Oryzias latipes: one gene and its partner. The protein of the gene in region 1 purifies or fractionates together with the protein of each later gene. This does not show direct contact. Links are inferred from orthologs where the notes say so. Each region holds a gene or a part of one and is shown in the gene's direction. Other genes may lie near its edges.

Region 1 (3,210 bases):
AGGTGATTATCAGAGACAAAGATTTAATAATACTTTAACGTTTGAATAACCACATTTCTAGTTTAGATAAGGGTAAAAAAGAAATTATCAGAAGTCCTCTTATAAGTGTTTGATCAGGAACCAGTGGTGTAGGACCTAATATGCAAGAGACCAGGCATGCTGGCAGGAACTATAACATTTATTAAATAAACTCAAGCATGGTGAAGAAAAACCCCACGGAGAAACAAAAGTGAGGCAAAGCAAAGCAGATGAACTGAAAAGCAGACCGTTAAATATGCAGAGAGGACAATTAACTGAAATGAAGACAGCTGTGGATCATGATGAACCTGGAACTGGCGTGACTGACAGAGCAGCTCAGAACATGACCAAAAAAAACAAAAAAAAAACAAACTTAACCACAGAATTCTCACACGTTTGGTAAAGCAACACTATCTAATATAATAGTGGCTATTTTTTTTTTTATTTCACTTAAACGCTTTCCTTAGAATAAGCTCCGTTTGGGATCCATGAAACCAAATGTATGAGAAGAATAATAATGAGAAATTTGTAGCCACATAATAACTACCAGGTGATTTGTCATCAAAACTATTTTCAGAACATGGTTTTATACTTCTTAATTAGCTGACAGTTGATCCGTTCAGGATTAAATCTAATAGGACAGGCGTTAGGAGGCAGTTGTTTTCATATGTTTTCAATGACAACAAGGAAGTTTCATTTGTAGAAACCAAGTTTTGATGTTGATTATGTAACTTGAAGATGCTCCTTACGTTTTGTTTTTTTTTATATTAGGAGCAGTTTGGAGTTAATTAGTTGCTTCTCTGCACTCATTACAACAGCATGTGGAGTGGTTTTGTTCGTAGATAAAAGCTAATCATTTCCCCTTAAATGTGTACAGATAGACTCAAAATGTATTTTTTAATTTTGATTGAATACACTGCTGTTTGTTCTTATGTCATTTATTATTATTTTCAGCAATTTATTTAAAATGGAACAGTTTCTAAAAACACAAAACAACATTTTTCTTCTCTAACTTCATCTGTTACATCCAGGTGTGTGTGGGTGGAAAACGCCGTAAGGATGAGATCAGCGTGGACAGCCTGGACTTTAGCAAAAAGATCCTTCACACAACATGGCACCCATACGAGAACATCATTGCTGTAGCCGCCACCAACAACCTCTACATCTTCCAGGATAAGGTGAACTAAAAAGGCCTTGAGCCTGAGCTCAGCACCTGTTGAGCCGACTATCCAGTGACTAAAGACGACAGCATGGATGATGGGAAGGACTGACGTGAAGAAAACCCTTCATTCCATCATTTCAGTTCCAGCTCAGTTTGCCAGATGGATACATAAAAGGACGGAATGCAGGAAATTTATGCAACCTGAGGATTGCTGCATGAATTCTGTCATGAAGCAGCCCTCTAGATCCTTCAGAAAACGGAAAACCTGAACAGAAGACACAGAAACCGAGCTACCATGACGATGACTCTTTGTCATGAAGCAACAGTGCCCCCTTGTTTTTTGTCAGTCTGCTCATGCTTCACCGCATGTGATGAACCCTGCAGCCTCTGATGGAGGTGAAGTCGGACAGCCTAACCTGCTGGCTTTTAATCATTGACCCGCTTTTTTCTCCAGTGGTGCAGGCCTCATTTGTACCAGTTTTGTGTCTCCTTGTCGAGACTGATGTGGTCGGTAATGTGAACGAAACCCTTAAAGGTTGTGTCAATTGTTTAATTTAATGCTGTAGTTTTGTTGAGTCCTTCTCTCGGTCATTGAGTCTGTTTAGAAGCTGTGGTGCCTTCTTTTGGTGTGTGGGTTCGATGTCGTAGGACTGGGCATGGGGAGGAGGGGACTGTGTGAATGTTTAAAAAAAAAGTTTGGACTTTTCTCCTTTTTTCTTTTCTTCTTTATTCTCTCTTTAAAGGGAAAATGTCAACAGAAAAGCTCCAAAAAAAGCAGCCTGAAGCACTGTAGTCAAGATTTACCATAGCACCTGATTAAATGCTTTTGAGCTCAGGTGATTTGTACAAAGCTAAAATACAGTCTGTCTGATGTCACCAGTTTGCAAAAGACATGAAAATATTGCAAAGTTGTTCTAAAAACAAATACAGAATCCTAGCCTCATGTTACCTTGTTTGTATAGTGCGGAAAACGATCTGCAATTTCAAAACGGATCCGATCAAACTGTTCAACCTAACTTGCAATTACAGTGTTAGAAGAGCACCTTTCTGCATGCGGCTGATCTGGCTCCGATTAAACTGTCAGTCTGCATACGGTCACAAACATCTACAGGTTATTTGAGGCGCTATGCAGCTAGAGGGTTATACGGTGCAGCGGCGGGTTGTCTCACAACACTCGACTCAAACTGTTCAGAGACAGATGCTTGTCTCAGATTGGTCACAGGAGCTGACTCTCCCAAAGCAAGGCAGTCAAAGGTCTAACTGAACTCTCTGAAATCAGGGAATAAGTAAGTGTGATTTCTTTAACTGTAATATCTTCTAAACAACCTCCTTTGTGACTCTATCATTGAAGAAGAAAAAAAAAACTTTTATAGCTCAGAATGTATTGAAATGCAATGAAATACCATGCAGTCTTTATGCTTACTGGACTTTCTTTGAATAAAAAAAATAATAAAGATGTGCAAGCTCACTTTCTGTCCTTCTTGGACTTCATCCGTAACCATTTGTCACATTCGAACATACAGGTAAGTCTTAAAAAGTTCTCCCTACCATGACAAAGGTGGATAAAGGTGGAAAGATTTCATGTAATCCATGGACACCAGTGAGGTTCACAAATCATTGAAGAAAAAAGGTTCAGCGCACTGTCTAGTGGGTCTAGATGACCCCACTCCCAATGTTAAAGTGCCTAGGATAGCACAAGGGTTAAAGGGTTCCAGTCTGAGTAAGTAGGCCTTGAAATCACATGAGAGAGTGCTGACCTGACAGATCTTTAGAGGACAGTCATCAACACCATTCAGGAGGGAAAACCCCAAAGATACGTTGCTGAACCAGCTGGTTTTCCACAGAGTGCTGTATCCAAGCATATTAAGAGATAAGTCAACTAAAAAAAGAATTTTGGTAGAAAATGATACACCATTAACAGGAATAACCACAGCCTTGAGAAGATTGTTGAGAAAAATCTATGTGAGAATATAGGGGAGCATCATCAAGAGTGGTCTGAGCAGAGCAGACAAAGAAGAGTAGTAAAGGTG
Region 2 (4,601 bases), on another chromosome or scaffold:
TCAGCACACGTTAGAGCAGGGGTCCCCAAACTACGGCCCGGCCCATTTGACCCGGCCCACTGAAAAGGGTCTCAGAGAGAGACCCCCCCCCCCCTTTTTTTTTCTTTTGCATTATTATTTTTTTAGGCTGGCCACGTGATTGAGACTCATGGAAGCATGGAAAATGTCAATAAAGCTTTCCCATTAAGATTTCTCCATTGTGGGATAAATAAAGTTATCTTATTTGAATTGAAATGTGAGCCAAGCCAAAAATGTTGCTACTGCATTGAACTTAGGAAGTTGATCAGAGAGAGCAGACAGGGTTTTATAGGCGAGCCTCCTGGAAACATCCAAGACTGGATTATAAGGAAAGAACACAAAAACCTAAAGAGACTGATCACATGAGTCATTTAGGAGATTCTGCTCCACAACTGAAGTTGAACCTGAGATTGTGCACGGACAACAGAAGCTCTATTTCTGTGAACAACTACAGAGATTTATGTGGTTATTATTGATTTTCTAAAATCTAAAATACTGTTACTTTATATTTACTGACTTTTTATGTAAAGAACCCAGAGAGGATTATTTAGTAACAGATCGGCTTGTTAACATTTGGTTCTGTGTGGCTCTCAGTTTACATTTAGGCCCCCCTGCGACTGTCACACTTTCTCTGTTTCAAACTGACCACGGCCCCCATCAGAGGATGGAAACGTCTCTGAAAAGTCTGGGGACCCCTGCGTTAGAGGTAAGACTGAGATGGTTGGGACATGTCCAGAGGACAGACTGAAGGATGCTGAGTCTAGAGGAAGACCAGAGAGGAGGACTCTGGATGAAGGAAGACATGAAGGTAGCTGCTGGTAGAGGATGCAGGAGACAGACAGAGGAAGCTGATTGGCTGTGGAGACCCTGAAGGGAAACACCCAAAGGAAGAGAAGAAGATGAGTGGATTGGAGTACACACCCATCGAGGTATTTTGACGTTATTTCTGTTGTACAGTCAGTACTCTGGTCTAAACGGAGGAGGATGACAGACGTGATGGACAGAATGAGGCCTATAGGGGAAGTCCACATCCTCAGGTGGGGTCTCCGCTGCTCCTGACACCTTCAGCCAGAGTTCTGCAGGAGCTGCAGCTCATTGATGCAAAAACGGAAACAAGAAGCGCCTCCAGCTGAATCTAAGAGCCTCCAAATGAAAGCTGCGGGAATCTGAGCGCACGAGACGTTCCCAGACGTTTAAGGCATCAGCACAGAAGGGCCCCGCAGGCCCCGCAGAGGCCCCAGATGTGCAACAAAAGCCGCTTCTGTCTGTCCCGTGGAGCGGAGCCCGACCCGCTGCTGTCATCCGGGCCGTGTTTGCTGATCCGAAAGTGAAGGCATTCCTCAGAACCGCCTTCAGGTCATGAGATAAAGCGCTGCTTCCAAACCGCAAATATGACTTCAGCCCCGCACACCCACGCACGGCGCTGCGCCCGCGGCACACATCTCTGCGCCTCGCTCGACGCGGAGCTTTACGCGGCCGTTTGCAGGTGAAAAGCGGGCTGAAGACAAACCAACTACTGTCAGAACCGAACCGGAGCCAAGAAACGGAAAGAGAAAGTTGTGAACAGAACCCAAACAAATGTTCTGAAGTCCTCCACCAACCGGACATTTACAAAAAAACTCCAGGATGACTGCTCCCCGCAGGAGCAGTGGATCGGAACCAGTCAGTCAGAAGCAGCGGGGCTGGCGCTAAAGTTCGGCTGGTTCGGAGCAGAACTACTCACCCAGACTGTTGGTGGAGGAGTCCATGATCCGGTTGAGAGGCGCGGTGCGGCCAAAGGTTTGTGTTTTTATACTTTAAGGTGTGTTTTCCATGCTCACGCGGGAGTGTCTCACAAAGGCTCCAGTCAACTGCGGGCGCTGCAGCACACCGGAAACGTGAATGCCGCTCACAGCCGCGCGCTTCACGCGCCAGGAGGAACCCCGCGAGCCCTGCAACCGGATTACCGACTCCCAAACTGACAGCAGAACTCACAGGGATCCATCAGCGGGACATACCGCTGTCATGTCAGTGCTGCAGCCCCCCAGCCCCAGAAACCCCCCCGGACGCTGACAGCCAGAGCGAAAAATGTTAGTGTGGAGTTTTCAGCTCATGCAGCGCGGCGATGCCTGCTGCTGCCTCAGCGCCGCTGTTTCTGTCGCCCCCGCGTGGCGTCATCCGGAACTGCATGTTGCTGAATAAAGCATCTGCTGCTGCTGATCCCGTTTGATGTCCGCCGCTGGGAGGATCACATGACCACGTTCAGCCTCACCAGACTTAACCAAACTCCCAAAACACAATCCGACTACCCCCCTCCCCCCCATTGTCCTTCCCTGCAGCTGGGTAAACAGACAGGAGGATCAGATAATATCTGAATGCATCAGACAGATTTCACATCAAGGAGAAATGAATAAAAATCCCATTTTTGGGCTCTTCTGACAATAGTTACATCACAGTTTCTTGGTTTAAAAAACAGATTAAATTCTATGAACCATTTCTCTGGTCCAGCCTTCCAAAATAAAGGCCCAATACACAAATAAAAAGGCCGTTTGGATTTGATTTATTTCAAGCGATCAAAACCGAAAAGACAAACAAAAGACATTTATGTATAGATCAAGTATATCAAACTCAAGCTGATTTGTCACGAAGTGATTAAAAAATCTAAAAAGTAAAACATATAAAAACAGTTGCAAACATATATTCCTTTATAGTTACTCTTAATCATAAATATTTGCACTTATATAAACAATACACGACATATTAAACCTATTAAATTAAAATTTATTTTCCAAAAGAGTTTAATTATTTGAGGAGTAAGAGAAAGCTAATGAACATAAACCCACCCCTATTGTGCTTTATTTAACTTGTTTTTACATATTTATCATATTCTAGTTTGTAACTTCTGACAAAAAGACATGACAACATTCCAGAAATTAATATTACTCAAACATTTAGTGCTCAACGATTATTGCATTAATTATCGTTTGATAAAACTTCCCTCAAAACTATCAAAGCAAACCTGTTTTTTTAACGGCTTTCCACTTTTTTCTAAGTTAAATTCTTCTCTACTAAACTTTGGAGGCCTCTCCTGACTAGCTTTGGGGGGGGGCACTATTACTTTATGAATGACATTTATTTATCTTCCCTCTTGCTGAGCTTTTGTCACATTAAAATCCACCTGGTTGAACACTTGCCACCAGCCTTGACAGGAGGGTTTGGGGTTTGAATCTCTGCACCTCTCTGCCTTTTCCTGCTGCTGCTAAGACGTATTTTATGTTAGGAAGAACGGTTAGTATTTACGTAAACAAATATTTACATTTTCTCTGTCTAAAATCACCGGGCAGCACAGCGCGGAACTTTCTTCTCCGGACCTGCGGAACGATTGTTGCTGTTTTTCTCTGTTGTGAGGGGGAAGGAAAAAGGTGCCGGACAGAGGACGTTGGTTCCCCGGTAAGCTGCCGCCGTGTGGTTGTTTTGAAGGAGACTCGTTTTCAGGTGTGTTTTGAGTGTTTTCTTGTCACTTTGCTTCATTTTTTAATCTCTTCCGGGAGTCACTGATAACTAGTGGGAGACATTTTGGTGCTTGTGATCCTGGCACGCGCTCAGACCTCCCTGAGTCCGTCTTTCTTTCGATAGCCGTCGCTGTCTGTCTGTCTGTGTGGATCTACCATCTGGACGGTGGGTTTCATGGCTCCACCATGAAGGTTTCCCGCTGCCTACAGCGGCTGCAGGATCTGCGGCTGCTCCGATGCTCGTGGCAGACGGCGCGGGTCCTCCAGCCAGAACCCCACGGTCCGCGCGCCGCGCGGAGCAACCCACAGCAGCACCGGGTGAGTTCCGGCCCACCCCCTCCTGACGGGCCCTGAGTGACAGGTCCGAGATCAAAGGTCCCGTCTGTGTGAGTGACAGGTCCGAGATCAAAGGTCCCGTCTGTGTTTTACCTCCTGAAAACAGGAATCGCTTCTTTCCAGCGATTCATTTTTAATGATCAATGATTTTTCACAATACAAATATGTCAATCAAGTTACAAATGGTTCCAATCAAACGTTCATAAAAGGAAAAAAAAAGTAGAATTATTTCAAATTAAATGTTTGTTTTGCTATTTTTAAGCAAATGGATTGTATTCTATGTGAGGTTCTTGTATTTGTATTGTTACTTTTGATTACAGTGACAAAGAACTAGTGTAAAAGGTGCAAAAGACTCAGTTTAGAATAAAATTAGAATATGATGTTTGTCCACATGAATATGTTTTAACAGATTTAATTGGATCTCCCTCTGTTTTTATACAACGGTAGTGACAGGAGTTCTGCTGTCAATTCAGTTAAAGGTTTCCTCATTGAATTGAATTTTAAAATATCATCCTTAAAATTGAATAATAAAACTAATTTTTCTGAGTGTTAAATCATATTTTTCTATTATCTAGAGATTGCAATAAAATGATTTGGACTGATTTGAATAATAATTTCTTTATGTCTAGACCGTAACTCTGAAGGAGACTAAAGAGTCTCCTGACCTTTGTGACACGTTAGCCCCTCTGGACGCTCTGTTGCAGGTCCTGAGGGGATTCCACTGCAGTCCCGTCTTCGCCAAGGACCCCCGCCTTC

The links. Proteins that work in one complex are often made in the same cells at the same time.
Region 2: the proteins of serine/threonine-protein phosphatase 2A 55 kDa regulatory subunit B beta isoform (region 1) and ecsit purify together in Homo sapiens (affinity purification with mass spectrometry; 3 studies listed by BioGRID and IntAct, with this or other methods). This does not show direct contact. The link is inferred for Oryzias latipes from reciprocal best matches to the Homo sapiens genes PPP2R2B and ECSIT.

The regions. Positions count from the first base shown.
Region 1 is NC_019868.2:20,553,156-20,556,365, forward strand, and holds the end of serine/threonine-protein phosphatase 2A 55 kDa regulatory subunit B beta isoform, read left to right. Parts: intron 1-1,049; coding exon 1,050-1,205; 3' UTR 1,206-2,648; downstream 2,649-3,210. UniProt on the Homo sapiens protein: The B regulatory subunit might modulate substrate selectivity and catalytic activity, and might also direct the localization of the catalytic enzyme to a particular subcellular compartment.
Region 2 is NC_019876.2:29,030,037-29,034,637, reverse strand, and holds the start of ecsit (evolutionarily conserved signaling intermediate in Toll pathway, mitochondrial), read left to right. Parts: upstream 1-1,520; 5' UTR 1,521-1,741; coding exon of another isoform or gene 1,742-1,766; 5' UTR 1,767-1,797; exon of another isoform or gene 1,798-2,307; intron 2,308-3,397; exon of another isoform or gene 3,398-3,405; 5' UTR 3,406-3,492; intron 3,493-3,633; 5' UTR 3,634-3,695; coding exon 3,696-3,827; intron 3,828-4,549; coding exon 4,550-4,601. Other genes in the region: eml3 (echinoderm microtubule-associated protein-like 3), read right to left, coding at 1,742-1,766.